Rhinolophus ferrumequinum: one gene and its partners. The protein of the gene in region 2 interacts with the protein of the main gene of each other region in a pairwise test. Links are inferred from orthologs where the notes say so. Each region holds a gene or a part of one and is shown on either strand. Other genes may lie near its edges. The genes, in order: C14H8orf33, HMBOX1, WT1 and ASB7.

Region 1 (6,615 bases), on a different chromosome or scaffold from region 2:
CCTGACCAACCGGCTGGGCAGTAGTACCGGCCCCTGAAAAGCAGACAACGAAGGGGGATTTGGGGCTCATCCCGTGTTCTCAACGATGCCTATGAAACGTCAAAGTAGAGCTGTACAGTGCACAGCTGGGCTCCAGCTATCTGTCTGGTCTGGGATATGCCAGCAAATATGGCCTGCAAGCCACAGGAGGCTTAAGCCACCTGGGAAAGCCGATTCAATAAAGCACAAGCCCTGTACGGCCACGTGGAGCAGCCAATATTCAGAGGTCGTTCACTGAGGCTCCATCCAGGCTTCTCGCCAGGATCCTTAGGGCTAGCAGCTCTCTGCTTCTAAGAACAAAGCCTGGCCGGCTGGGGGGCCACACTGGCTCCCTGAGGATACTTGCCCAGGAATGAAGGCAACACAGACCAAGCACCACAGCTGGGCTGAGCGCCTGGGCCCAGCAGTGCCAGACACCTGCATCATCTGTACTTGGTCTAACACAGGCAATTAGCACACACGCTCATTCATCAATTTTTACAACAAAACAGTTTTATTAGGGCAATATGACACAAAGGAATAAAGCACTACCCCATTTGACAGGACGGCCTTTCATAAGTGAGCACCAAAGTGCAATTATGCAGCTTCCCCTCACCCTCAGCCACTTAATCTAACCCTGAAAACTAAGTAAGACGTTCTTTCCACCACACACTGCCACTCACTTCAGTTTGCTGTAGAAATCTCTCTAGATGGACCTTCCTCTCGGGCGGGAGGAACCATTCACCTGAAATCCTACTAATAGGGTCTTGTGCTTGTATGACACTACTTAATACACTGGTCTCACATCTGCCCACCATCCATGGAACCACATTCACCGACCAGCCGGGGAGAGGCCAATCCCACATCCGTCCAACGGAGCATTCCTGGAAATGCTCCGCACGGGGGACAAAGCCCCACACCACCTGGGGAAGGGGACTGTACCAGGATGGAGAGAGAGGCTAAAAGAAATTGAACTTAAACTCTTCATCAGGAGTGTCCAGGGTTGCTTTGGCTCCCCCTGCTAGGCGAGGCCTGCAAACCCTCCGGCTCTTCTTTCTGGTGGCCTCACCTACAGGCTGCACCTGGGCTGAGTGTGCTGCTGTGGGGGAGGGGAGCGTGTCAGAACTGAGTGATAACAGCTCATGTTAACTATGCCCCTACGACGGTAACCTCTTTGTATAAATTCACTGACCTACTTCTCAAAATTATAAGGCAGGTATTATCACACCTCACTTAACATCACAGAGAAATTCACTAACTCTCCTATCCCTCCCTCCTTGGCACAGGCCCGAGTTCTGTGCTCCTGAGGTGCAGGCTTTCTCTCCCTGCTCCCCCAGGCTTTCCTGAGCCGGTCTCCTTCCCTCACCGGCCCTGTAGCTCTGGGAGTCTTCCTTTAACTGCCTCACCTCTTCCTCCCTACCCCCTTGAACTACGCAGCCCTGAATTAACCAGTTCCCAGCTCCTCACCAGTCCTGAGAGCCCGCAGGACCTCGCGCCACTCGGCTTCCATCTTAGTCCTGTAGTCCCCAAACAAGGAGCGCATCAGCTGCCTCTTCCGGGGCAGGGGTGTTCTTTCGCTGCGCAGGGCTCGGATTGCCCCAATAGCTTGCTCCCCTGCCGACAAAAACAAAGGACTAGGGACCTCCTCTATCCTCATTTCCAACGCAAAACCACCTATTCCAACCCTTGGCGGCACTGGCAGGACACAGCACTGTCACCGTTCACCTTCCCCCAACTCTACAGAAGGGTTCCTCACTCTGTTTTGGGCTGGGTCTCTGCGTCTTGAGGCCCAGTTCCAACTGCTCCACGCACCAGGCCAGTTCTCGAGCCAGCTGCTCCGCCTGTGATGGGTTGGGGACAGTGGCTGAGAGGGTACTAGGACACTGCGGCCTCCACCCTCATCGCAAGGGACCCAAAAACCCCCATCCCATCCCTCTGCCGTAACTCCGCAAATCCGAGACCACAACCGCTTGGAGGACTCGCACCTAGAATGCACCCGGGGACCCCACCCTTCCCGACTGAGCACTGCCCTTGCCTGGGCCTCTGCGCTTAGAGGAGCTTCCTCCGGGGCATGCTTTTCTGAGGCCTTTCCGTCTCCATTCGACACGGAGGCCCCGTTCCGGGTTTTCTTCTTCTTCTTCGGCTTCTTAGAAGCTGCGCCGCCTTCACCGACTACGGGATGCGCCCTGGAGGCGGCGTCACTGCACGTGGGGTGCCCTGAGCAGAGACGGACCGGATGAGACCTTAGAGTGGAAGGACTCGGGGCGCCGGACGGCGGCCGGGAGGCCCGGGGGCTGCGCGGCGCGCGGGCGGTACCTGGACCTGGTGCCGCCGCTGTCTCCCAAGCAGGGTGTCCTAGGGCCTGGAGAGAGGGAGGCAACAAGAAGGTCACGGGGTACAGCCCAGGCCCGGAGGCCCAGCCACCCGCGCCCCCACTCTGCTCCGCTCACCGCCATGCCCCGCGGCCGCACCGGAACTCATGCGGGTCCCAGGCCTAGTTCGCTCCTCCAGAAGCGCGTCCGCGTCGCAGCGTTCCGCCGGCGCGGTGGGCGGGGCCGAGCGGCTGCGGGGCGGGACGGGACGCGGGAGGGCGCAAAGGAGACCCCCGAGCAGGTGTACCACGTGGCAGGCCGCGCCCTGGAGGAAAGGGCAGCGCCCGAAACGAGGGCGCGGGCTCCCAAAGCTCACCTCCCAGTGGAGCGAGACAGGCAGGTGAAGACACGTGAAAAGTTGTCACGCAGCCCCGCGCAGCGCTGTGAACACAGGCGGTGAGTCGGCATCCCTCCGGGGCAAGCACTACCAGAGTGATAAGCTTAATGATAAATACCATGGAATCTAAAGGGAGGTTTGAATAAAGGGAGAGACAGTCTGCATTACTGTATTGGAAGATTTCATATTGTAAAACCACTGATTTTCCTCAAGCTAAGCCTATATATAATCCTTACCAAAATCACAGTAAGACGGCCTGGCACTTTTAAAAAAGGACTTCCCGAGGCAACAGATGGCAGGCCTGGTGGGGCTGGTCCCCGGCGAGAAGGAGGTGGGGGCAGGGCCCTGGGTGCTTTTATTCCGAGCGAGGTGGCGGGCGCAGTGAACTAACGCAGCCTCCCACTGTCTCTGCAGAGTCGGTGCTCGGGACACAGGCGCACAGAGAGCTTTGGGTGTTGGCCCAGCGTCACTGCTGGCCAGGACTGACCTGGGATGGTCCCTGGCAAACTGGCCGGACTCCCCATGCCCTTTTCTTCCTTTTTAGAAACACTCTATTAAGGTATGGTTAGCGAGAATGTTCTGTACACATCGAAAGTGTACAGTTCGGTCGCATTCTCACACGTGCATGCTCATGAGACATTGTCCACTGCAATCAAGATAGAAACGGTTACCCATAAGTTTTCTCGTGTCTCTTTTTTTTTTTTTTTGAAATTCTTGCACTTTTTACTATTAGAGAGTTCTAAGACATTACAAAAGTATTTTTCTTTTTAACCCACATAAGAATTATAATATGCAGAAGAGATGAGAGATTTTTCTTATACAGGCACATAACTGTGCCTCAAACTGTAATTGCTTTTAAATTTATGTTATTATCGCTCTAAAAAGAAAACAAGAAGAGAATCCTGTGAAACTCATAAGACATCCCAGGTGCTTTCAAATGATTCCATTTCACACAGGAACTTCTAAGCAAGCACACTATCGTGTGTGGGTGGGTATCATTTATTCACTCCTCTTCTTCATCTTGTAGACCGGGTGAAGTTAGCTAGAGAAGATCTCGGGAAGAGCACTCATGAATGGAGAAGCATATAGCTGAGTCTATGCATTTTTCTTTTCATTGTCAAATTAGCTGGTCTCTGTACATTGATAAGAAGACTCATCATAAAAATAAAAAATACAAAAAAGAATTGTTGAGATCTCATTTGTTTGCCACACGGAAGTGGTGCAATAGCTCTCAAAGTAAACCACACTTCTTTGAACAGTCTTGTGCAAAAGCTGTGTGGCTCTTCTCACATTCTAATGACAAACCTCAGAGAACTGCCAGCTGTGTTTTCTACAAAGGTTAATCTCCTGCCTCTTTATAATCCCTCCCTCTCACCCCTTCCCTCTTCTGTCCTGAAGCAAGTACTGACCTGCTTTCTATCACTGTAGATTACATCTTGTAGTTTCATCTCACCGGAATTACAGCGTGTGGATTCTTTTTTGTCTGGCTTTTTTTGATTCGACACAATTATTTTCAGATTCATCCGCGTTGGGTGTCGATAATTCTTTTTTTTTTTTTTTAATTCTGATTAGTATTCTGTTGTATGAATGAATATACCACTATTTGTTTATCCATTCTTTGATTGACATCTGGATAGCTATCAGTTTTTAATTGACACAAATAAAGCTGCTGTGAACATCTGTGTACAAATCTTTGGATAACCATACGTTTCCTTTTTTCTTGGATAAATAACTAGGAGTGGAATGGCTGGATTATATGGTAGGTGCATATTCACCTTTTTAGAGCAAGGCCTGATTGTTTGCCACAGTGCTTTTGCCATTTCACGTTCCACGTCCTCACAAACACTTGGGGTGGTCAGTCCTTTTCATTTTAGCTGCTCTGGTAGAGGGGCAGTCGCATCTGTTGTGGTTTTGATTTGAATTTCCCAAACAAGGAGATGTTAAAATTCTTTTCATGTGCTGATTTTCCTTCTTTCTCTTCATTGGTGAAGAGTCTGTGCAGATCTCTGCTGATTCTTTAGCTGGGTTTTTGTTTTCTGACTGAGTTTTAAGGAGTTCCTTTCTGAATACAGGAATGTTCTAGATACAGGTCTTTTGTCAGGTACATGTTTGTGTAGATTTTCTCCCACTCTGTGCTTTGTCTTTTTATTCTCTCAACAGTGTCTTTTGAAGAGAAGACGTTTTAATTTTTTTCCAAACAGTTTTATTTATTTAAGTGTGTATTTCAAGGACCCGTCAGCTCCAAGTCAAGTAGTTGTTTCAGTCAAGTTGTGGAGGGTGCAGCTCACAGTGGCCCATGTGGGAATCAAACCAGCAACCTTGTTGTTAAGAGCACCACGCTCTAACCAACTGAGCAAGTCGACTGCCCCGACGTTTTAATATTCGATCAAGGCCAGTTTATCAGTTTGTTCTTTTATGGATTGTGCTTTTGGTGTCCTATCTAGGAAACCTTTGCCTAACTCAGAAGATTTTCTTCTTCTAGAAGAAAATTTTATAATTTAAAAGTTTTAGGTGATATGTTTAAGTCTGCAATTCGTAATGAGTTGACTTTTGTATCTAATGTAAAGCATGGATTCAAGTTTAATTTTTTTACAGGTGGATGTCTGGTTGTTCCAACACAATTTCTTAAAAAGACTATCGTTTCTCCACTTGCCTTGTCTTTGTGCTTTTGTCAAAAATCAGTTGTCCATCTCTGCGTGGGTTTATTTCTGGACTCTGTTCTGTTCCATTGGTACACTGTGGACAATGTCTTTAACTCCACATTGTTTTGACTACTGAGACTTTATTAAAACTCTTAAAATCAGGCAGTATTAGGCCTCCCTCCAACTTTATTCTATACCCTTAGAGTAATTTTGGCTACTGTAGGTCCTTTGCATTTCCATATGAATTTTAAACTCAGCTTGTTGGTTTCTGTGTGGCCACATAATGGAACTCTCACCAGTGCAATGTGAGTGGAACCATGTGGCCAGGCCAGAGCCTCCACTCGGAGTCTGACGACAGACATGTCCGTGAGACTAGTGTCAGACACACTGCTCCAGAGGACAGCAGAGAACAGGACAGAAAATCAGCCTCCGAACAAGCAAGTCAAACAGAACCCACCAAACAGGGACCCTGCCACATGAGGAAAACAAACTTCTATCTCATCAAGCCCATGCATTTGGGGTCTATGACACACATGGGGAAAACCCTACGAATGTTATGAATGTGGAAAATCATTTAGCCTGAACTGAAGCCTTACTGTTCATCAGAGAATTCACAGTGGAGAGAAACCCTATAGGTGTAATGAATGTGGAAAAGCCTTTAATCGGCGCCCACAAGTTATTGAACATAAGAGGATTCACACTGGAGAGAAACCTTATGTCTGCAGTGACTGTGGAAAGTCATTCAGTGCTTGTCTATCCCTTATTCAGCATCAGAGAATCCATACTGGAGAAAAACCTTATGGATGTCATGAGTGGAAAAACCTTCCATCAACAAGGACATCTTATTCAGCATCAGCGAAATCACACTGGAGAGAAGCCCTATGAGTGTAAGGAGTGTGGAAAGGCTCTCAGCCATAGTTTTAATCTTATTCTCCATCGAAAAACACACAATGGTGAGAAGCCCTATCAATGTAACGAGTATGAATAAGCCTTCAGCGTGCTCTCGTCCCTTGTCCAGCATCAGAGGGTACATAATGGAGAGAAGCCCAATGAGTGTCATAAATGTGGGAAGGCCTTTAGTCAGGGCTCACACCTAATTCACATCAGAAGACTAACACTGGTGAAAAGCCCTATGAGTGTCGTGAGTGTGGGGAAACCTTTGGACAGATCTCTACCCAAATTAAGCATGAGAGAACACAATGGAGAGAAGCCCTATGGATGCAGTGACTGTGGGAAAGCCTTCAGC
Region 2 (7,690 bases):
GGATGAAATCTTCAGCTGGACAGGCACCAATGCCCTGATTTTCTACTTTTTTCGTAAACCATATGACTTCCACATGCTGAGAATGTTTTATGCTTTAACCTGCAGTAAAGGCTTTACATCATTTTAATGCTCAGGGCTTAAAATACAACAGAATCATCCCAACAAATGCAAGGAAAATATTTGGTTTACTTTTAATTATTTCAACCAGACGACTAGACAGAGAAAGTTGAACGAAAGCTTTTCCCATAACTTTGCATTTCCACAGAAAAAAACAAAAAGAAACTGAGGTAAAGGTGGGTGGAAGAAAAAATACTCTTATCTTTTCCAATCCTTAACAAACATTTTAGTTTATATTTCTAATATAATTATTGAATATTTTAATGTTCTATGTCTAACAGAGTATCTTTCAGCCCGGAAAAAAAAAAAAAAAAAAACCACTCTATTGTGAAGTTATGTAGGATTTTTCTCCAATTTTTGCAAAGTAATATTACAGTCTAAGATAGAAGGTTTAAAAAGTCTGGAAATCTTAGTCTTTAACAAACTAAAGGCTCAGCTTTATAGCAATATATTCTATATTAGAAATTCGAAATTTAGAAGACATCAATTTTTTTTTTCTATTCAGGTCAATCTAAATATATATGCTATCTCATGCTTAGAGTCAGCTTATCTGTGTGAATGATCAACTGCAGAAATTTCAAATGAAAGGTTATAAAACACACCATAAATTATATATTGCATCTCTGTGACTTTCAGTTTTTATGGAATCGAAGGTCCTTTACTGATAAGTTCAAGAATTGATGTTTGGAGCCAAAATGTAAACACACTAAATTTTCAACAGTTGAATGAGAAATTATATCAATTGCTTTAGTTATTTAAAAGTCCATTGCACTAAAAAATCTGTCACATGAGAAAGGTTACTGAAAAACTTCTATTTCAGACAGAAAGAAGTACAAAATATATGATCCTAAATTATCCTGGTGTAATGTTACCAAATATTAAAGACTGTGAGAAACAAGAGATGTTACAATCCTGTTCCCTTTATAACTCTACTGGAAACTTGGGGGGAAAAAATCAGAATTCGAATTTTCCAAACTTGTCTTGTACACATAATTCAACTAAATCTAACTTAGTTGTGCAATGTTAAAATAAGTTTAATGCAAAACACTCTCATCTTGATGTGATAATTACCTGTGGCTAAAAGCAAAATAAAAACAGACGCAGGTCCTTTTCATCTAATGATGTGTTTTACACACAAAACCACAAACAGCACAACCGTCTTAGCACAAACTAAACAGGCACAAGAGGCATTACGTCCATCCAGGAAGAGAAACGTACCAGGCCAAGAGAGGAAGGAAGGACTGAAGGAAGGAAGGAAGGAAAGAAGGAGGAAAGGAAAAGGGAAGGCTGAGGTCTCTATACCTGCAGGATCCCAGCGAAATGAACTAGTCACATCACTCTACGCCATATGAAACACGAGGGTTTTTACAGCTTCAAGGTACATTTAAAAAGCAATCACTTTATACGATTCAACTTTAGATAGTATAGTAGCTTTCATGCCAACTGCATTCTCCCCTTCACTCACCAAATGCCTCCTCACTCTTCCACACCAGGTTTCAGACAAATGCGAGACTGAACAGGGTGGGGTAGAAGCAAAACACCAACAGCGGCTTTCGGCGACTCCCGCACCCCCACCCCCACCCCACCCCCACCCCACCCCCACCTCCAAATAATTTCCAACAGTTTTCCCTACTACGAAAATAAGTCGCCCTATCTCAGGACAGACAACAGTCATTCTGTGTCTTTCGTAGACACACAGAGATGCCTACACCTGTCAGCACTCCCGACCCCCAACCCATGCCCACGACTCTTTTAAGTGATGTTTAATCTATTTAACGCGAAGAAGATGAGCTACCTCTACCTGCTGTTTCGGGGTGAGGGTGGGTGGAGGACTCCTTTCAAAGTAGCCCCAACAGTGTCACCAAAACACGGTTCCGGAATAAAATATTAAGAACACTTTTTCCTTTCCCACCTTATCTGCCGACTTCAGGAGGCAACATTCCATCTCCTCGCCAGCGCGTCCCCACAATGCTCCTGCGGGCAGTTTGGGGTGGAGATGTGTCCAGGGCATGGGGCGGAGGCGGGGAGGAGGAGTGCGATCGAGCAACGGGACACAAGCGAGTTGCTAAGCCCGCACCACGTCGCCTCCAGCCCACAAGTCCAGGATCCGGACCTCACGCCCGCTTCCCTGCCCAGGCCCAGTGAAAAGCTATGGCTCCAGCTATCGAACTTCCCATCTCCAGACATTTATTCGAGACTAACATATCGCACAAGTACACGTCACACAGTTTAGAACAGTTCTACACCCCCAAACAAACCCACCCACCTCCGGTTCACCTCACAGTTTCCCAAACTCCACATAGGAGACCCCACCTCCAGGATTCAAACCTTCCGCCCATAGTGAAGGAGACCAGGAGCAAAGAGTTGGGGAGCTGCCAACGCCTTTCAATTACCGCCCCCCACAAACTGCCCCACCCCAGACGGTGCGACCGGGTCACCATTCGGGAGCCCCCTGATTCCTCCCTCCTCTCAATCGGGCCGCTTAAGAGACCTATCCCCAGCCCACTCACTTTCGCCCCAAAGCCCCTCAAAAAAAAAAAAAAAAAGTGAGGAGAAAGAAGTGAGGAAAGAGACTTGAGGTAGTCCGGCTTGAAAACCTCTCGACTCACCTCGGAATCGTTGCTGAGTTCTCTCCGCTCGGCACAGCCCCCTCCCCAACGTCCCGGTACGAAGAGCTGAGATAGGGAGGAGGGGAAGGCGGGAGGGGGAGGGGTGTCTTCCGCGTGGGGCGCCTGTCGGGAGGGGACTGGGGAGGGGTTGAGGTCCGCGCAGGAAGAGGAGAAGGGGGAGGGGAGGCCCCTATCTCCCAGTCTCCCCCTGAAAACCTCCCTTGTCTCAATCACATCAGACTGACTGTCTTTGTCTGGCTGACAACCGCCATATTGATATCAACAGCCCCGCTCCCACCTGCTGCAGCCAGGCGGCCCTGGGAGTTGTAGTTCCTGCCTCCCTTGAGTAAAAGCGCGCGACTCAGCGTCCAGAGGCCCCAGGGAACTACAACTCCCGGCAAGTCCCGCGCCCATCCGCCTTCCCACAGGGAGGAGGAGAAAGGGGCGCCCGAGCCGTGAGAACTACACATCCCAGAATACCATGGGACCCAGGCCCAGACTCGGGACATGATATCATGCTGGGGTGGAGAGGATGAATTGGCGGCGGGGATGAATTTGAGCTGACGGAAGGAGGTATTTAGAGAAGGGAGGGAAAGAAAAGATAACTACAGTTCCCATGATACATGGATGACTACGTATCCCATAATGCCCCGAGAAGGAGGCGTAGGGAAGAAAAACTGCATGTCCCGCGATGCTCTCTGCGGGCGAGTGGCGGAGCTTGAACCGGAAGATCGCTTCTGGGTTTGAGGTGTCGAGTAACTGGTGTTGAACAATCAAAAGTCCAATATGAAACTGGTGAGTCTCCGCTCCTACTGAGGGCAGTGGCCATATCCTTTTGGCTTCGTCGTTTCCACCTTGGGAAGGGAACCATCGCGAAAAATGGGTGGCAATTAGGAAACTAGAAAGTGGGGTGGACTAAGCAAAGCTGTTTGTTGTTGAGGGGGTTAAAAATCACACCTCTGTACCCCTCACCTCCCACCCCCCATACACAACTATCAGGAGATCTTACACATCCTTGGTGGGTCCCTTTGGTTAGATAAGAGGTTGCCTGTAACATTTTTTCACCGAGGAACTAAGGTTGGATTTATGAACTAGGTTTTTGACTTCTCAGCTGCTACGTGAGTGTTATAATAGGTTATAAACTTATTTCCACGCAATTGACACTTGATTTCACTACCGTTGTTGAGAAACATTTGGTTATTTGTGGGCAAAGGGTAATATTGGGAGGAGGGTAATTACTAAGTTTTCTGTTCCTAATTGATTCCTAATTGCACTTGGAAGTCAGAGAAGGCCGAGGTTAGGGTGTACTCTTAGAGGCTTTGAGTCTTAAACCCTGTGGAGGATATGGATAGGCTGAGAGGAGGTACTCGTATTACATTCAGGAGCGCCCTGCTAGTGGCTAGATAGACGGCTGCCTGATTCATGAATCGCTTAATAAAGCCAATTAGATCTTCAAATTAAAAAAAAAAAAGATTACAGTCTGGGGCTGTAGGCGCTTCATGAGCCAAGGTTAGACGAACGTGCCAATACACCTGGCGTCTTCCCATCACAAAACTCAAACACCTGGCTTATAGGGACGCTTCTCAGGCCTTTCTTTTTAGCCATTTTACTGTCATTGTGCACACAGACCTAACTAATTTATTGCAACTGTGTGGAATTAATAGCATAATTAGGAGAGTAGCAAAGCATGTGTGAGATGCCACACCTTTTAAAATCATGTTCCTGCAGCCAAATATTGTCAAGCTTTACTTTCTGTGATTTTTATAGAAAAACAAAAGATTTATTTTCTTTTTCCATTTATATAATTATTTGAACATGTTTTCCCAAAGTATACATATCCCCCTCATCCCCTCTTTGGCCATTAAACCATGTGATGGGTATGTATTTACTCAGCCAAGTGTCGTCACTGTGTCGCTATTTTCTGAGAAGAAGTTAGAAAAAGTATTAAAAGTAGATTCAACTACAAAATTGTCTTCATTTAAAGTCCTATATGGAAGGAAGAGGATGAAGATCAGGAAACCCTGAGATTATCAATTTGCTCCTGGGTCAGTGTGCTAAATACCTAAGAATGCAGAATTGAAAGTCACCACCCTAGCCCTAAAGAATCATGCCATCTAATGAAGTTAGAAAAGTAAGCCAAAATTATAATTCACTGCATTCGTGATAAAGCAGAGTCCTTTTCAGGGGTTGGGGAATTGAGAGGATAATTGGAGATGGTGCTGAGCGGGGACTGGGGGGGCGTGGTGCCAACAGTCAGCTTCCTGGAAAAGTGACTCTTGAACTGATAAGAAGGATGAGTAGCCGAGGGCCTTCCTTGAATCTTCAGTTTAGGAGCAAAAGAGCTTGTGCCGAAATGGTTGGAGCACAGACCATGTGTCTTCAAGAAAGGATAAATCACATTTGGTGTGCCTGGTGAGAAGGCATGCAAATGTGATGCAGTTTTTCCCTACAAACTCGATTGCTGAGGTTATCAGAGAGCCGTGGTTTACTTTCAATATACTTTGGTTTGCTCATAATATCCTCCCGCTTCATTTCTTTAGAGATGTGAAAACATGGAAGGGAAAAAAGTAGAAATTATTTTCTTTTCTGTAAGAACCAGAAGATGCCTCAGAGGAAGAGGAGGTGTTCTGTCTATGGTCCCTCCTTTTTAACGTTCAATCGATGTATTCCATGTTAAAACTCATTTGGGATTGGATAAGTGGTAATGCAGAATTTCTGTCAACATAGCAAACGGGTTTCAAAAAGATGGACTTCATTAGACGTCTCTTTGTGTGACACGCCTCCCATAGAGTTGGTATAAATCCTCCCATGGCCTAAATGTTTTCACTTTGTGTACTGCTTCAAGAATATGTTGTAAGCAGTGCTTTACATTTATATCATGAAACACAGAAATATACTTTATTGAGCACATTCTTGTTTTTGAGATTATGACTTGCCAAAATACCCTTCCCACTCACAGCGTATGACTGCATCTTGTTGATGCTACTTCTGTTCTTCAACAGGTCTGTTTCTCTCCAGTCCCACTAATACTGCCTTTGTAGGGACTCTTTTCACTTGACACTTGAAATTCAACGAGACCTTCTGTCTAGTCTCCCTGCGTTCCATTTTAACCCTCTCTCCAGTTCATTCACTACCCTGCTTTCCGGAAGTTGTTTTAAATTGCAGAATTCTATAATTCCCTCAGTAGCTTCCTTTGTTCTTAGGATAAAGTCTTATAGCTCTTGACTTACTTGGTCCTGCAGAATATGGCCTTGCCTACTTCCAGGCTCATGTCTAGCCCTCATCTCCCTGGTTCTCTGTGTTCCAATTATATTGCACATCTTCCAGTTCCTTGAACTCTCCCTGCTGTCTTTTGCCTCTGGGAGTTTAAATATGTTCCATTGCCTACAACACTTTTCTGCCTGCCTAAATTTCTTTATATACTTCAGGTCTCTGTTTGAATAGCACTTCTCCATGGTTTTGTGGAATTAGGTACGCCCTCCTCTCTGCTTCCATGGCACACTTCCTTTGGTAGCATTTGTGATTATTGGATTTATTTCTGTCCTCCCTCTTGTAGACTCTCTATTCCCAGGGCCTGACACATAGTGTGACGCTGCTAAATAGCAGTTGAATGAATCATCTCTGAAGGATTATCAAGGTCTGTGAATATCACTGAGAAAAGATTGAGGGGTAAAGTTTAAACATTACAATAAGCTATAATCATTGGAGTAAAAAAAAAAAATTGCTGCCCTTTATGGAGCAATTACTGTGTCCAGGCACTGTTGGAGGTACTCACTAATTAGTTTCCCTTTTCAGTCCTTTGATCTAGGTGATCGTATTCCCATTATACAGATAAAAATCTGAGCCTCAGAGAGGTGAAGTGGCTTGAAGTTACACAGGTGAAAAACGTGGGAGAGCCAAGATCTGAACCCAGGTGTCCTTCCTTAAGCGTCTGTTCCTTACTGAGGGCAAAGACTTGAGACCTTGCATGGTGCGTGACATGTGCTCCGTAGGTTCTGTCTTCAAAGACGGGAAGCCAGAGTGCGTACTGAGAAAAAGGTTATTCAAGGCTATTTATTTTTAAATTGGCTTTAAATGGGAGTTTGGTTAAATTAAGCTCTTCAAAAAGATTAGTGGTAAAAAATTAAAGTTTGGGAAAAAACTTTCTTAGTACTATAAAGGGTTCCATATCAAAGCATACCAATTGAGTTCCCACGTTAGTTTTTATACTATACGATATATAAGCTCTGATACCATTAATAGTTCTCTAACTTTACACATCGTTCTCTTGGTGGCTTTTTATACACCCAAGGGAAGACAATGGATGTCATTATAATGCAATCCTTGGATATCTCCTTCTTAGAGAAATACCAACTGAAAAGATTGAAATGACCGTCTGTAATATGCGGTATTCAAGCAGCTTTATTCAACTGAAGAAAATTCATTGGTACCTTCAGTGAACCAAAATCGTTTTAAAAAGAACAGGAAAATTAGAAATGTATCCTCTAAATTAGCACATTTTAGAGCCTGTTCTGTTTTAGTATAGATTGAGCCTGATTGGGTATACCCTGATGGCCAATTCAGCTAAGGATCGCAACTGGATTTCATCAGGGTCCTTCACGAGAGACCATGGAACAAAAGAAATAGTGAATGCATTGCCAGAAATTGAGTTTGAAACATCATGGCCAGGAATTTAGTCATTCAAATAGATGAAGATTAAAGTAAATAAAATAGTGAGAAGCAGTTCAAGAGTGCAGCATGTCATCCTTCCTATATATAGTTCCAAGATAGAATCTTCTGGTTTATTCGGTCAACAGAGATGCAGCCACCATATACCCTTGGCATTCAAAGTTTCAATACTTGCCATTTGAACTATTATATTTGACCCCAAAGATCGATGACCAGGAACTGTTTGTAATTTTGTTGAGGCACAAATTTCAATGCTACTCTAAGATTAATGATAATCCTTAGTGAATGAGCCTGAC
Region 3 (7,415 bases), on a different chromosome or scaffold from region 2:
CCCATTTATGTTTTCACTGCAAGAGAAAACCTAAGCCTGTAAACAGAACCAGGTTTACAGGCCGTGGCTCTGAGTCTGGGACCAGCCCTCCAGTGGGCTCTTCCTTAGGGTGGAGAGGAGGGAACTCCTTCACCTGTGAGTCCTGGTCCCCAGTTCTCAAACCTTTTTCTTTTTTGCTGCAGGGCCTATCTACTAGAAAGGAATTTGGATTTTCCGCTTAAGTGTAGTGTGCGCTTTGGTTAAAATTCCAGTCCGCTACCCCACCCCACTGTGGGTTAATGGGATCCTGGGCACCAGACCTGTTCTGTGGAAGACTGGATACAGGGGCCCAAACAAAGCGACAGAACACAGGTTCCAAAATCTTCACAGTACCTAGATAGACTCAAATAAATAATGGCACGGTATTTTGTGGTAGGGGGGTACATCGATCAAATGACTTCTCGGGCCTCTCCACATAGCACACATCCATAGAGAGACTCACTCTCATCACACACCTGCCTGCCAGTCCTAGCCAGAAGGCAGGCCAGTCAAGTTTAGGTGGACTGCTCTGCGTTCTGTATTTAGAAGGCAAAGCCCAGGGAAAGTTGGACTTCTGCATCTATGGCACAGAGATTCAGGCCAGACCCAGTTTCCGGGTTGCCCATCACAGCTCCTCTCTTACAAATGGAGAAACTGAGACGTTGAGATTTGCCAAAGGTAACAGCAGCCTGCTCATTAGAGGTGGCAGGATAAGAGAACACAAGCCTCACCACGGGCACTGGGCTGTTCCAACACCCCTTGAATCTGAAACACTAATTTCATTTACAGAGACCTACAGTGGAGAAACCCCATGGGTCTGCTTAAGATTCCTCCATGGGTCACAGATCCCAGATTCCCTGGATGAAGAGAGGAGGAGGGTGGTTTAGCTTTTGCCAGGACTTCTGGTGGGCCAGGTGCTCCTCGCTGGCCCTAAGGTAGAGACAGGCAGCCTGGAGATACGAGTTTAGAAGGTGAGCGCTTCCTGGTAAAGAACAGAGACCTTCTTCCGTGCCTTGGGAGACCCGGAACCTATTGCAAACAGTACGCACTCTGCTTCTCCCATCCCACGCATTCCAGAAACATCCCGGTCCCTAGGCCCGTGCGAAATTTTGCTCCAGGAAAAGCATCTGCCATGGTGTCTGTAAAGAATTTCCTAAAATATCGAATCAACCGGAGTTGGTTTGCGTTCTCAATAGCGGAAAAGTCCAATTAGAATAAATTCCGAAACCAAACAGCAAGGGCTCGGCCTGGCTGGTTCCTGAGAAAGAGCTGTGCAGGTGCCAGCGCAGGATGAGAAAACTCACGTTTGTGACCCGCGATGTACAAAGACTGAAAACGACAAATAAACCTGTCCTTGTTCTACCCCCCAAGTCTTGCAAAAATCGTTCCCCGGGCTGAGCCCCGCATTCAACGATGAGGAGGCGCCTGACGCTAGAGCCTCATTGCTTTGCCTATAATAGGACCTGGTCCCGCACAGCTTGTAATCGGACAAATGGGGTCCTCTTCCAGCCCTGGAGCCCGCTTGGCCACCACCTGAGCGGGAACCAAAAAGAGATCTGCTGCCATACAACCACACGGGGAGCCATACTCGGACACAAGGTGGTTCCAAGAAAGCCACTGATTAGTTGCTAGCCCGCTCATGTACTCCTTCTAGTGCTCCATGATACTTATCGAGCATCTAATGTTAAGAGCCAGAGCGGCGCCTGCACATTTTGGCGCGAGGGAGGCGGCACGGGCTGCTCACCCTGCGCGGGTCCCACTCCAGAATCCAGAGTCGAAACGCCTAAAAAGTCCAATGCCTAGTGACAGTTTGGTGAAGCGACAAAATCCCTTCTGAGACGAACCTAGACACTGCACAAGTTCCCCCTTCCCACTCTAACGGGGATTTGAAGTACCGGAATCTCCAAGGGTCGGAGGGGCCCCAGATGACCTCCCGGCTGGTGCGAACAGTCGGATTCCCGAGAAAGTCAGGATCCCACGCTGGAGCGTACTCCCTCTCCCCGGAATCCTCTCTCCCCAGCTGCTGCTTCCGCTACCCTCACAGTCCTTGGGGAGGCAGCCAGGTAAGAGCTGGGGTCAGGAAAGAGGTTGGACAGGGTAGTGCCCAGGCACGGCAATAGCCCCTTCGCCACCGCCCCCGGTGTAGGGGGCGCTCCCCGGCCTGCTTACCCTGGTTGCGAATAGCGGGCTGGCTCTCGAGGCAGCTGGGCAGGTAGGGAGCGTTGGGGAACATCCTGGCCTGGCCGGAGGACGCCTGGCTGGGAGGAGGAGGACCGAAGGGTCCGTAGCGACAGGCTCCAGCTGTGCCGGTGAACTGGCCGGAGAAGTGGACAGTGAAGGCGCTCAGGCACTGCTCCTCGTGCGGCTCCGCGCCGCCCCAGCTCGGCTCCTGTTTGATGAAGGAGTGAGGCGGCGGTGGCGGGGGTGGCGGCGGGGCCGGCGGCGGCGCAGGACCGCCCAAAGAACCGTAAGCCGAGGCGCCCGGGGGCGCAAAGTCCAGCACGGGTGCCCACTGCGCGGCGCCGCTCACAGGCAGGGCGCAGCCGCCGCCGCCACCCAACGAGGGTACAGCTGGCAGCAGCGCGTTCAGGTCCCGCACGTCGGAGCCCATTTGCTGTAGTTCGGCCCCGGACGGCCCGCGGCCCCTCCGGCCTTGCAGACTCTCGGTGCTCCACTCGGTCGCTCCTAACTTGGCCCAGATGCTACTTGGGCCCCGGATCCCCGGCTGCTCGGACTGCGGAAGACACCCAGGCCCGGAGCGGACCGTGTGCGAACACGCCGGCTCCGGGGCACACGTGGAAGCCGGGTCCTGCGGCAGAAGGAAGTCCAGGATCGCGGCGAGGAGGCGGCGGGGCCCGAGCTCCTGGGCTGCCGTCCCGGTTCTGGGTGGCTGAATGAGTGGGAGGGCGGGTGGGAAGGGGGGAGCAGACAGGCGGTCAGGTTGCGGAGAACCCCCGGGTGTGGGCGCTGCCTTGAACTCCTTACCCCAGCTGCCTGGCTGCCCCCAGCTTCTCAAAGCTCAAATAAGAGGGGCCGGCGGCGTGGGAGGAGGAGGAGTCAGGAGTCTCCGCCGCTCCATTCACACCGTAGCCCAAGCGGGTCCAGGCAGCGCGCGCGGCTCCTCTGGGGCGCCCTCGCAGTGGGGGTGGGAGGGCGGGCCTGAGGGAGCGTCCCTCTCCGAGACACCCTCCTCTCCAACCGCCACGCGCTCTTAGCTGGCCTGTGGGACACAACCCTCCCCCTACCTCCCCTTCTCGGCCTTCGTGAGTGTGGGCGCCTCGAGCCACTGACGAGTCTCTTCAGGTGAGCAGTGAATGGCCCCTCTGCATCCGTGTATGACGGCGGTAGGGATGGGGTTGTTAATCTGAGAGGGCGGGTTGGAGGGAGGGGCAGGGGGTGCTCCACGAGGGCGGGAACTTCAGGAAAGCGCAGAGAACTTCCCCGGACTCCAAAGAGGCGGATTCCCTTGCTCAGCGCGCGCGAGTCCGGCTCTTGCGCCTAGAACCATCGGGCTGGAGTAGTGGTCATAATCTTGGGGTCACGGAGGGGGGGCGCGGAAGCCCCTTGTGGGTTCCGAAGGCCAGACTCAAGGTGAACGTGGATGACCAGAAGGGATTGCATCAATTGTGATAAGCCGGGCGTATTTCGATCGTCTGGTAGTTGATTACTTGGTGAGGTTGCTGCCTACCTAAAATCGGTGTCATCTGCACTTAACTTCCCTTTCTGCTTAACAGTATCTGACTCTTCTACGGTGAAGCCAGGAAAACAGCGGCTAGTTTGGGAGGGAATAAAACACAGGGAAACTCCTATAGCCTGCATATATTCCTGCCGGAGAATGCTGGCGCCCAGGTTGGGGAGTGGGCAGGGTTTGGGTACAAAGCCCCCAGGGAAGGGTGGCTTTTGGAGCCGCTCCTGCCGAGCTCTGCTTTCATCCACGGTTGGCAGTACCATTCTGGATTCACAATGACCGATCAGAAGGCAAGTCGGTTAGGCAGACCGAGGAGGAGAGCCTCCAAAGGCCCACGGTCCCACACAGTGTTCTTACGGTTGGGAGCTCCAAGCGCCTGGTATCGCCAAATCAGACTCCTCCTTCCACCTAGTCACTGTTTGGGAGCCCGGGGTCCCAGAGCAGGTATTTGAGGTTCTGTGTCCCCCCCCCCAAAAAAAAGAAATAGCATCTATCGGGAAACTGACGCTAGGCAAGGAGAAGCGCCAAGAATCCGGATTGGAGTGCGTTTCAGGGGCGCGTGGAAACGCCCAAGAGAGCCAGGAGGCAGCGGCGACCGCGCAGCCTGGGACCACCAGTAGCTCCGAGCAAAAAGCGACCGGTTGCCGCCAGGTCTCCTACACCAGGCTGGCAGGGGATAGGGCCCACAGCTTTCCAGCCTAGCCCATGTGAAACAACAATCAAGGTAGTTGCAGTTTTACAAAAATGCCACGGTTTGGAAAGCCTAGACGGTTTCTTCACGGTTTCTTACACTTTGGTTTTAGTTAATTTGCCTTGAGTAAACGAAGTAGCGGCGTGTTCTGGCTACAAACTCGAAAGCGTGTGCCGACCCTGGACCTACACGCTAAGCGCAATCCCCTCCTCTTGGGGTCGCTCCTTCGGGGGGCGCAGGAGTCCCATGAGCGCAAAGGCCGGGAACACCCGCTACCTTCTTGCACCCTCATTCACCTTCGCAGTCATGGACACCTCTCTGCGCTGCTTTAGTGTCTGGCTTTGCTTCGTCTCCACTCAAGCTTTTTGAAGAAATGAAAAGGCTCTAGAGGCCAGTTCCTTCTCCCCACTACACCCTCTGTGGGCCACCCACTCCTCTCCCGCAGGCCTCATTTCAGCCGGCCGCGGGGATCCAGAGCTAGACAGAGAACGTGCACGATTAGTCATTTTGATGGAGAAAGTCCCCTGAGACGAAACTTCTCATGCCATGTTGCCCCTAGAACGCCTTAGACCCCTGTCTCACACCTCCCACTTTTATTTCTACTTTGAAGTCGTTTTTTCTTAACTAGTGTTCTCTCAAGCTCTACGAGGGAAAGCGAGCCGCTTTATGGAAAGCCAGGGATCTGTTTCCAAACGAAAAGGTCGAGATTTCTCCTTTGCAAAATTTTTTTAAGGGGGGTGGTATTTGAAAGAGGATAGCTTGAATGTGAGCTTTTGTGTTTTTGAATTATAGATAGGGCAAAGGCGCCTAACTCTCTGCCTTTACGTATAACTGGGGGGAAAAAAGGTTTTTGCCCAGGGGTGGGGTAAGAGAAAAGGGGAGTCGAGCAAATCCTGGAGAGATCCCCATTTCAACCCTGGAGTGCTCCCTCGCCTCGACCTCGTAGTCCGAGGAGGTGGGAGGAGTTCCTTGCAAGGAGTTCCTCAGCGCGAAGAAGTAAATGCTGCTCGTCCAGAGCCGCGGGAGGTCCGAGGACCTCACCCTAGAGGAAGTCTCTGAACGCCCCCTACCCATCCCCAACCCTGGGAGCCCCTACGCCAATGCCGGGGAACCCGCAAAGTACTGCGGCTGCAGGGCGCCCCACGCTCCCCACTGCTCCCTTTCATGGGTAACATTCTCTGCGGGAGCTCTGCGGTTACACAGGCGGCTGCGCCCGCCGCACTACCATCGGCTCGCTGAGCTGGTCGGAGGGGCTGACAGTCTGGCCGCGAGGAAAGTTCACCTGCTGCACCTCTTGTAGGTCGAGGCCCACCCGTGGTCCGGGGGAAACAGGGACTGCGGAAACCTGGCCGCTGCTTTCTCTCACCCACCTTCCCAGTGGGATCAGCGCTAAAGCCTGTGGCGCACAGGATCATTTGCTTCACGGATTGGCAGAAATGGAAATTCATTTCCTCACTCTACAGAGAAGGAAACTGAGGCCCAGACATAGGGAGGAAAGGCAGCTGTAGAGTGCAGTGGTTAAGAGCAAGGGATTAGTAGCCAGAGAATGAATGTAATATCATCTCTATCAGGTAACCAACAGCGGTGTAACCCTAGATTTCCTAAACTAGCCTCTCTGAGCCTCAGTTTCCTAATTGGTCAAACGGGATAATGTGATGCTTGCGCCTACCTCATATGGGGTTGTGAGGATTAGAAGGACGATTGTATTGGCCTATGTACACAATAAACGTTACAATTTTTGTTACTATTATTGTTCAAAAATACTAGCAAGTTAGTGGCAAAGCCAAGCTGAAAACCCAGGTCTCTTAACGTCCAGCTCAGGGCTTTACCCACCACCACCACCCCTCTGCCTCTCTCGAGCTAACGGAATGGAGAATAAAGGAAGGAAGGGGAGAGGAGGGAAGGGAAGGGAGGGGGAGAAAGAGAAAGAGAGAGAGGCTGGAAACCCATGTGGCTTTGATACACTGGTAAAGCGCATCTTGGCCTGGAAGGTGCTTAATTATTGCAAGATCAAAAAAATCGCGACTGAGTGGGAGGGGGCAGTGAGGACCTATAAACTCTTCACTTTGACCCCGCGCTGTCAACTGCAGCCCACCAAGCCCAGAGCAGGGCCCTGCAGCCGCGGCCCTACAGACTAGCGAGTACTACCCGGCTGCGCTACGGGCGTCACCCCCGTTTGCAGACAACTGAGTAAACACACCGACGCGCTGCGATCTGTAAAAAGCTGGGGTCGCCTGCCCGCGCCGGGAGGAACAGGGACTTTTATGGTGCCTAGTGCAGGGGCCAGCGCCCTGAGATCCACGCGCAGCTCCAATAGCCTGACCGCTGCTCCTCTCCTCCCCTCCGACTCCAGACTCCAGCTCTTAAGAATCTGTCTACCCCTACCCCGGGCCGCTGGTCAGGCGCTTAGGCTGCTTTCCAACACCGTGCTAGTGGTAGAAATCCCAGCTACACTTCTTTAAATTAAAAAAATAATAATAACTAATAATAATAAAGGAGGGACTTTTGTTATAGTCCACCCCCACCTCCCCACCCCGCTTCCGCTGTTAATTTGAAAATTAACTCTTTCTTTTGACCAATCCTCCCCATCGACGTTTCAAACTTAATTCTCTGACCGGGTTTGGGGGTCCAGGATGGGTGTGCACTACCAGGTGCGCAGTGCAAAATTTCCCCCTGTCCCCCAGCTCGCGGTGCCTGGAACCGTCAGGGTTACCCGTCTGTTCTGATGCCACCGCGAAATGGTCCCGGAGCTCCCAGAGAGTCCCCAATGAAAGGATTCTGCAGCGCTGCCTCTATTATTATATCGTAAATCTTTTTAAATTCTGGAACTAATTATATAGAGGATATGTCTCAATTTGTTCTGCATTAATGCCACAGTGGGGATGGAGGCCTGGCCGTGGCCAGAGCAGATACGTAGGCCCATGAAATTGATGAACTGAGAGTTGCTTCCAGTCCTGAGCGCACCATCTGGAATTCCAGTCTGAGGTTACAATTAGAACTCCTGACCCCAGATTCAAC
Region 4 (7,926 bases), on a different chromosome or scaffold from region 2:
TTTAGACATTTTAGGGATAGTATGTACTTCTGTGTTACCAAAGTTAAATGTAACAAAATAGATATTGTTCGTGTCCTAATAGTAAGTAATTGTGAACCGTGTCACTTTAGGTATAAAGAAAATAATTATTGGCCATAGCACATTCAAAATGCATCACTGACTATCTTCAATTAAAATCAGTTATGTTCCCTATGTAATTATAAATCTATATTTGGTTATCAAATTCATCAGGTGGTTTGATTTTTTTTTTTTTTTTTTGGCTTTCAATACCATGTGGCTGGCAATAGAATTAACACAAAGTTAAGTGCCAGGTTGAAAAACATAAACCACCTAACTGGCCATGTTGGTAAATAAGTACCCAAATTAAATATTTTAAATGTTTGGCATAACCTAGACCAGCTATTCTTAATCATGCTAATATTGGAAACAGATGCTGACAACTTAGATATATATTCCCTAATCTCAGGAAAAGCATTAAAAGCTGAGAGAATCAATGAAATATCATTTAAGCAATGAGAATGAACTGGCTGGGGGAACACTCTCTTTACCTTATATGCTTGACTCACCACAGACCTACTCCCTATCATCTCAGGTGATGATACCTCGCAGACAGGAAAATATACTAGACGGAAATCTAAAGCAGACAAAATATTTAACAAAGAAGGACTGAATAGAAACTACATACTTCGCTTTTACCTTCAAAACACACTTCAAATATTTTAGCATTTTTTAAAAGGCCTAATCATTAGGCTGCATTTGGGTGAGTCACATACTTAAATAATGAAAATTGCCTTTAACTTTATAGACTTCAGCCTCGCTTTTACTGAGATGAAGTGGACCCTACATACACTTATCAAGGCTGGCCTATAATTCACTGTGGGACAGCCATTGGTAGACACTCATTTTCAACCCCTTTCAGTAGCACACACTCTCCTTTGGTTATCTGGTTTCAGGTCTCAAGAATATACAAGCCCTCAGAGCCCCTTAAAAGTATCTTTAACTATGTCTTGACAATTAGAAGAATCATGGAAGACGTTAATTTCTTTTTACGCAAGGCAGGAAGACCAGTGGAACAGAGTAAATCTAAGATTTCCTAACAACTTCTGCTATTTTAAGTACGTCTTTGTACCTAAAATTCCCTAAACAATCTGAGATATTAAAATAACTCTGAGATTAACAAGTCACTTTATACTCATGTTACTGGATGTTAGAAGTCATTCACTCGGCTAATTTCTGAATTAACTCATATAATTTCCCTAATATCCCCTCTTTAGAAATTACACGAATGTCCTAAACTTACCTTTAGTGTATTTTCAGAGGCAGCAACAACATATAGTAGTAGAAATGTGATCACACGAATTAGATGCTTACATTTCAATCTAACAAATTCTCTGTAAGGGTTTTGAAATGAGAAATCTTATTTATGAAGAGTGCAAAGAGAAAGCCTTAGGTTCTAAACACACTGAAACATTCCTTTGTTTTTAAATTCTTGAGTGTCAAATGAGTAACAAGATATTATGTAAAGTTTTGTAAGTTTTTCTAGAAAATCTGAGGTGCAACATACTATTTATCTTTTTGTAACAGTTTCAACGCCCATCTACATCTGTCACATTGAAACACACAAAAGCCTGAAGTGTTAATTACACATAAGTGCTTCAGGGAGACTACTGCTTTCATAGGATTAGATTCACTTTCCACTACGAAAAAGTCATATTATTTTCCAAAACTCATAAATTTCAGGTCATTACTGTACCTTCCTCTCCCAAACCCTTGTCAGTCAGGGAACTCAAAAGATATTCTGATGGAGGTAGAGGAAAGGTGACAGGAAGGATTAAGGGGAAAACAGAAAACTGGGATTTAATTAAAAAGCAGACTCATTTAGAATTAACAAGCAATTAAGAAGGAATTGAGGAATTCCTATGAGAGTAAAGGGGGGAACTACAAAAAGGTCTCAAAGTCTCAGAGCAGGGTAAATGGTGCAGTGTACCAAAAAGATAATGCAAAACACGGAAACACTATACAAATAGAAAGGAAGAAAATACGTTTTGGGGGTTGAGAAGTTACTAAAATGTTAAGAATCAGGGCGAAGGCAGCGTTTTTGTTTTTGCTGAGAAACTGGGGGCCAGGAAAGGGTTGCATGCCCAGGTAACCACCCTGAAAACAGAGCGCTGCTTAAGGAGGTAGGGGCCGAGAATAAACAACGGGGCAGGGCAGGGCTGGCTTGTTACCTTTATAGAGAATGATGGTCAGAAGCTCTCTTCTACTTCTCTGGTGGGTGGGCAGACCTCCTCCTGCTCTCTGGACTCCTCTAGCCAACTCAAACCTGGAAATCAGAAACCTGTGAGTGGTGCAGTGCCCGTGGGGCGGGGAGGAGGGGGCTTTGGGGAAGGGAGAGCAAAGGAAGAGAGTGGTACAGGCAGGCAGGAAGAAGCAGTGATTCTCCTCCCGCCCAGCCAGCCCCCTTCCCCTCGGGGAACATAACTGACTTTACCTGTCTCCTCAGCTGCTGCTTCTCTTCTTCCTTTCAGCCTCCTCCACACGCACCAACTTCTCCATTGAAGAAGCACCCCAAAGCAGGGCCGGACACGGGTGTTGCTGACCCTCCTCGGTGGCTCACGGCCCCAACCCCGCGAGCATCCAGACAGCTGAGCAGACGCGGAGAGGCAGTCCTGGCCGCGGGGCAGCCTCGGGGCAGGGGTGCAGGGAGGAAGTCCCGGCTCGGGTTGGGGGGGGGCAGTCCGGGTCTGAGGGCTCGGAGCAGGGGGCTGCCGCGCTCTGGGCCGGAGGCTCCCAGCTACCGGGTAACACGGGAGGTCTCGGAGCAGCGAGGTCCCGGGTCGTAAAGGGTCCGAAGTGTCAGCCGCGGGGGATCCAGGTAGGGGGCTTTCGGGATGCACTTTGCACTGGGCCACCCCCGCCCCCTCCCTCCAGCACTTTGGGGTCACTGGGATGGACCAAGCCTTCAGCAGCCAATCAGCGGCCGCACTAGAGCCTGAGCCTAGAGCCGTAAACCAGGTCCGGGGTGGGTGGAGGTGGGGGGTGGGGCGACTTGGTTGGTTGGTTGCTTCCTTCTCTCCTCCTTCCCCCTGGCAGCCCCCACCCCTTGCCTGCCGTAAAGCCGCCTGCGCATTCGCGACAGTGAGAGGAGGCGTGCCGATCGAGGCTGGGATTCATCTCCGATTGGCCTCCCTCACTTCCCCGTTGGCTTCCCCCCCGTGTCTTCCGATGCTCCGCCCCAGGCGGAGGGACTCAAAGCGGTTGCTAAGAGACACTGCACGCTCAATAGGGCCTCTGCGCATGCGGGAGGCGGGGCCAGCGTGAACTACGGTGGCCGGAGGGGGTCGGGCTTCGTTCGAATGGCGATGCGAAGGCAGAGTGGCTGGAGCGCCATGGAGCCCTGGCAGGTAACTGGGAGCTGCCCCTGAGCTCGGCGGCGGGGGAGGCGTGTGTGCGGCCGACTGAGAGAACGGCCCGAGGGTTCCAGGTGGAGGAGGCGGCAGTCGCCAGGACGCGAAGAGAGGGGGCGCCTCGTCCCGCCGCCCCTCGGCGCTTTTCGGTGGCGGGATGCTTGGCTTGGCTTTGGATTCCTTAGGCCCGTTAGCCAGCAGGCTGGGCGTACCCCCGCCTCACGTGGAAGAGAGGGCTGTTTGGGGGGGATGGCGGGGACGTTTCAAGGGCTTTTCTACGCGGAGAGCGGTTCGCACGGATTCCTGGGAGTGAAGGGGAAAGAGTGCAAGACGTGCGAGATGGACCCGTTTGCTGAGCGCGTTTCTTCATTTTAGCAAGTGGTTACGGGTCGGGCACTGTTCTGGTGAACCAGGTAAGTGCGGTGACTTGTCCCTGTGGACCTTTCACTTTAACCGGGGAGACAGAAAAGCGCACAATTAGCAGACAGAGGGGGAGGCTGTCCAAAAAATATCAAGCAGAAATAATGGGATGGAGTTTGACCCGGACGTGATGGCCACTGTGGATAGTGTCAGCAAAGGTGTCTGAGCAAGGGACAGTTGAGTAGGCATCTGAATGCGGAGGAGCCGGCCATGTCAAGATCGGGGGGGGGGGGGGGATTTTGCAGGCAGAGGGAACCAAAAGTACAAAACCTCTGACGCTGGAATACCCTTTGCCGTTTGTTTATAGGAACTGCAAGAAAGAAGGCCAGGCCAGGGTATTGAAGCGGAGGGGGGAAGGGGGACCATGGATGGGGATGCACTTGGGGGGGTGGGGTAGGACGAAGAGCTTCGATGCAGGACCTTGGAGGCCGTGGTAGGGAAGTTATAGCATCTTCTGTATGTTTTGAAAGCATCCCTGACTGCTCAAAGGAAAAGACTGGCGGGGAGCTGGGTGACTGCAACTATGGAAGGCTATTGTCCAGGCAAGACTCAGCCGTCCGACACCCCAGACATTTGGCTGCCACCAACGTTTTCAAAGAAAATTATGTCATTTCTAATTATATAAAAGAAGTGATTTCAACGTATCAGCTGCTTTTATGTAATAAAATATGTTGTTCTGTGGAAGATGGGGACCACTACAAACACTTTCAGTTTGCCCCGTGGTATATATTTTTTTACACTGTTAACTCATTTGTTCAAGAATACTCATTTGGGTGCCTCCCATGGGAGCTACCTGTTGGCTACGTAAGCAAGCTCAGTCCTGCCCCAGGAAGCTCACAGTCAAGTGTGAACCAAACTAGAAAATACCTTTGGACAGTGCGGTGAGATCAATACTGTGGGATAGGCTGAGAGAGCAATTGGCAGGGCCCTCAAACCCTGCTTGGATCTATGGAAGGCTCCATGGGGACTGGAGGTTTCCAAGTTGAAGGTTGAGAGTAGGAGGGAGACAACTGGGTATGATTTAGTCAGAAAGAATGGACTCTAAGCAAAGCACTGGGAAAGAACTCCGAGAAAGTCTGGAGCTTAGTTTTGGGGGCACTGAGGTGAGAAGACCCCAAGAGTCAGATCTTGAAGGGCCCGCTAAGCTGTGTTCAGAGGTTTGGATTTTATCCAAGGAAAGTGCAGAGGTTTTTTTCAGAAGAAAGTGGGTGTTGAGTAGGCCAAGAAATAACCACTTAGGCAAGGAATCTGCTGCAGTGTCCAGGGTAGATGTGCACTAAATAGTGGCTGTGCAGGTGGAGAGAGGTGGCATGAGGAAGGGTCCAGGAGGCCGTCTGGGTTTCTAGCTTGGGTGACTAGGAGATACAGATGCCATATACTGAGATACGGGCAGTGTAGGAGAAAACACGTTTAAGAGGCCATAGAACGAGTTGAGTTTGAGCTGAAGGTGCTTGTGGGACCCCCGAGTGGAACTCTCCAGGGGCGTTTAGATGCTTGAGTATAGAGACCAGAAGACAGACCCTAACTGGATTCTGAGGTTGTTAGCTTGGAGATTATTGTAACATTGTAATGTAGTGTGGAATCAGGAAGCTGGTGCCTCCAGCTTTATTCTTTCTCAAGGTTGCTTTGGCTACTCAGGGTGTTTTGTGGTTCCATGGAAATTTTAGGCTCATTTGCTCTATTTCTGTGAAAAATGCCATCGGAATTTTGGTAGGGATTGCATTGACTCTGTAGATTGCTTTGGGTAATACGGACATTTTAACAATATTAACTCCTCCGATCCATGAACAGGGACTATCTTTCTATTTATTTGTGTCTTTTTCAACTTGTTTCATTAAAATCTTATTCTATACAGGTCTTTCACCTGCTTTGTTAAATTTATTCATAGGTATTTTATCCTTTTTGATGCAATTGTAAATGAGTAAATAAGATTAAGATTGTTTTCTTAATTTCTCTTTCTGACATTGTTTGTGTATAGAAACACAACAGATTTTTGTATATTGCCTTTGTATCCTGCCACTTGACTGAATTTGTTTATTCTAACAGTTTTTTGGTGGTCTTTAGGGTTTTCTGTATATAATATGTCATCTGCATATAGTAACAGTTTTACTTCTTTTCTTTCTAATTTGGATGCCTTTTATTTCTTTTTCTTGCCTAATTGCTCTGGCTAGGATTTCCAATACTATGTTGAGTAGAAGTAGTGAGAGTGGGTACGTTTTTCTTGTTCCTGATCTTAAAGGAAAAGCTTTCAGTTTTTCACAATTGAGTGTGGTGTCAGCAGCAGGCTTGTCGTGTAGGACCTTTGTTATGTTCAGGCATGTTCCCTCCTTAACCACTTTGTTGAGAGTTTTTCTGATAAACATGTCGAATTTGCTCAGATGCTTTTTTTCTGCGTCTGTAGAGATGATCATATGCTTTTTATCCTTCATTTTGTTAATGAGGTGTATCACATGCACAGATTTGGGGATGTTGAACCATCTTTGCATCCCTGGAATAAGTCCCACTTGATCATGGTGTATGATCCTTTTAACACATTGGGTTACAAACCTGAATTAGGTTTGCTAATATTTCATTGAGAATTTTTTTGTGTATGTTCATCAGATAATATTGGCCTGTAATTTTCTTTTCTTGTGGTGTCTTTGTCTGCTTTTGGTATCCGGGTAATGCTGACCTTGTAAAATGAGTTTGGAAGCATTCCTTCCTCCTCTGGTTTTTTTTTTTTTGGAAGAGTTTGAGAAGGATTAGTATCATTTTTTTTTCTTTAAGTGTTTGGTAGAATTCACACTGAAACTATCTGGTCCTGGACTTTTGAGTGTTGGGAGGTTTTTGATTACGGATTCAATCTTAGTAGTAATCTGTTCATTCAGCTATTCTATTTTTTCATGATTCGGTCTTGAGAATGTTCCTAGGACCTTATTTCTTCAAGGCTGTCCAGTGTGTTGGCCCAGAAAACCATATTTAAGCTTAAAAGAAAAGGAAAAGTAGGTGGAAGAGCTTTCTAGGCAGAGGGAACAGCATTGTCTCAAGGTCCAGAGTCAGAAAGGAACCTTTCAGAGTGAATAAAGGAGTATTGGCATCCTCTCACTTAAGTTGTATAAAGGTTTTCACCATAAAAGCCCTGCGCTTTCTCAAATCTTTTAGTGTGTGCTACTTTGCTGAGGTGGGGTAGGTAACCTTATTTTTCAACTGGAAATCAAATCTGTTTTGTGTGTACAGTATTCAGAATTCAAAAATTAAGTAAAATGTCACATTTATAGACATTTGGTGGGGTTTTTTTGGTGGGGGGGCGGGGTGGGCAGGAGGAGGAATGGAAGGGGCCTCGATTGGTGAAAGGGAATGGGTGCAGAAACATTTTATTCTGAAGCCTCACTTAAAATGTAGAACCATATTTTAACAACTAAGAGTAGAAACGTTTTAGTTTTTTTGTTGATACACTAGAGATTTTCTATTTTTTAAACAAATTCTTAGCATTCATGAAAAACCAAATGAGCTCAGAATGAGCTCAGATTCCTCATCGGTAAAATTGAGATTGGTCAGTGGTTGTCAAAGTGTAGTTCCCAGTCCAATTTTTGGGCCCTCCCCGGACCCACCGAATTACAATTTCTGGGTCTGGGCTTCCTATCGTGTTCTTTGAGAACCACTGGTCTAGATCATCTCTGAGCTCTTTTTCTGGTACTAAGATGCTCTGATTGTAATGCCCAGCACCTGTCTGTACTAGTACGTAAACAAGTTTGTGTTTGTCTTTGTCTTAACAGCGCTGTCTGGGAAAGATACATGTGAGTTGTTCTGTTGATCAGGTTTGTGTTAAATGCTGCTATCCTTCCGTTATGCCCGCTTTCTGCAAACAAAATTACTTCATTACTTGTCTAAACGAATCCAGGCTGCTTGTGAATGTATCCCCAAGCCTGGCTTTGATTCCTGCATCCGGGCCAATGAAAGGCCAGCTAGGATCCCGAATCGAGTTGTTGAGATGAATGTGACGTCTTATGCAATTTCCCACCTTTGAGATTGTGCCCTGCCCTCCTTTCAGTAAGCAGGTGCTTACTGCATTTCTTTTGGAGAATCTGGCACTGCAGCATTGTTTTCAGGAGCCAAGATA

What was found.
Region 1: the proteins of HMBOX1 (region 2) and C14H8orf33 interact in binary tests that used the Homo sapiens proteins (3 or more experiments, as listed by UniProt). The two-hybrid records come from large-scale screens. The link is inferred for Rhinolophus ferrumequinum from reciprocal best matches to the Homo sapiens genes HMBOX1 and C8orf33.
Region 3: the proteins of HMBOX1 (region 2) and WT1 interact in binary tests that used the Homo sapiens proteins (3 or more experiments, as listed by UniProt). The link is inferred for Rhinolophus ferrumequinum from reciprocal best matches to the Homo sapiens genes HMBOX1 and WT1.
Region 4: the proteins of HMBOX1 (region 2) and ASB7 interact in binary tests that used the Homo sapiens proteins (3 or more experiments, as listed by UniProt). The two-hybrid records come from large-scale screens. The link is inferred for Rhinolophus ferrumequinum from reciprocal best matches to the Homo sapiens genes HMBOX1 and ASB7.

Annotation. Positions count from the first base shown.
Region 1 is NC_046297.1:73,371,262-73,377,876, reverse strand, and holds C14H8orf33 (UPF0488 protein C8orf33 homolog), read right to left. Parts: upstream 2,475-6,615; coding exon 2,469-2,474; intron 2,381-2,468; coding exon 2,335-2,380; intron 2,236-2,334; coding exon 2,054-2,235; intron 1,860-2,053; coding exon 1,775-1,859; intron 1,633-1,774; coding exon 1,486-1,632; intron 1,118-1,485; coding exon 978-1,117; 3' UTR 520-977; downstream 1-519. Other genes in the region: ZNF16 (zinc finger protein 16), read left to right, coding at 2,473-2,786.
Region 2 is NC_046301.1:29,851,778-29,859,467, reverse strand, and holds the start of HMBOX1 (homeobox-containing protein 1), read right to left. Parts: upstream 3,012-7,690; 5' UTR 2,727-3,011; intron 1-2,726. Other genes in the region: INTS9 (integrator complex subunit 9), read left to right, coding at 3,513-3,521. UniProt on the Homo sapiens protein: Binds directly to 5'-TTAGGG-3' repeats in telomeric DNA. Associates with the telomerase complex at sites of active telomere processing and positively regulates telomere elongation.
Region 3 is NC_046294.1:25,032,246-25,039,660, reverse strand, and holds the start of WT1 (Wilms tumor protein), read right to left. Parts: upstream 3,009-7,415; 5' UTR 2,630-3,008; coding exon 2,188-2,629; intron 1-2,187. UniProt on the Homo sapiens protein: Transcription factor that plays an important role in cellular development and cell survival. Recognizes and binds to the DNA sequence 5'-GCG(T/G)GGGCG-3'. Regulates the expression of numerous target genes, including EPO.
Region 4 is NC_046311.1:12,375,629-12,383,554, reverse strand, and holds the start of ASB7 (ankyrin repeat and SOCS box protein 7), read right to left. Parts: upstream 3,002-7,926; 5' UTR 2,492-3,001; intron 2,324-2,491; 5' UTR 2,229-2,323; intron 1-2,228. UniProt on the Homo sapiens protein: Probable substrate-recognition component of a SCF-like ECS (Elongin-Cullin-SOCS-box protein) E3 ubiquitin-protein ligase complex which mediates the ubiquitination and subsequent proteasomal degradation of target proteins.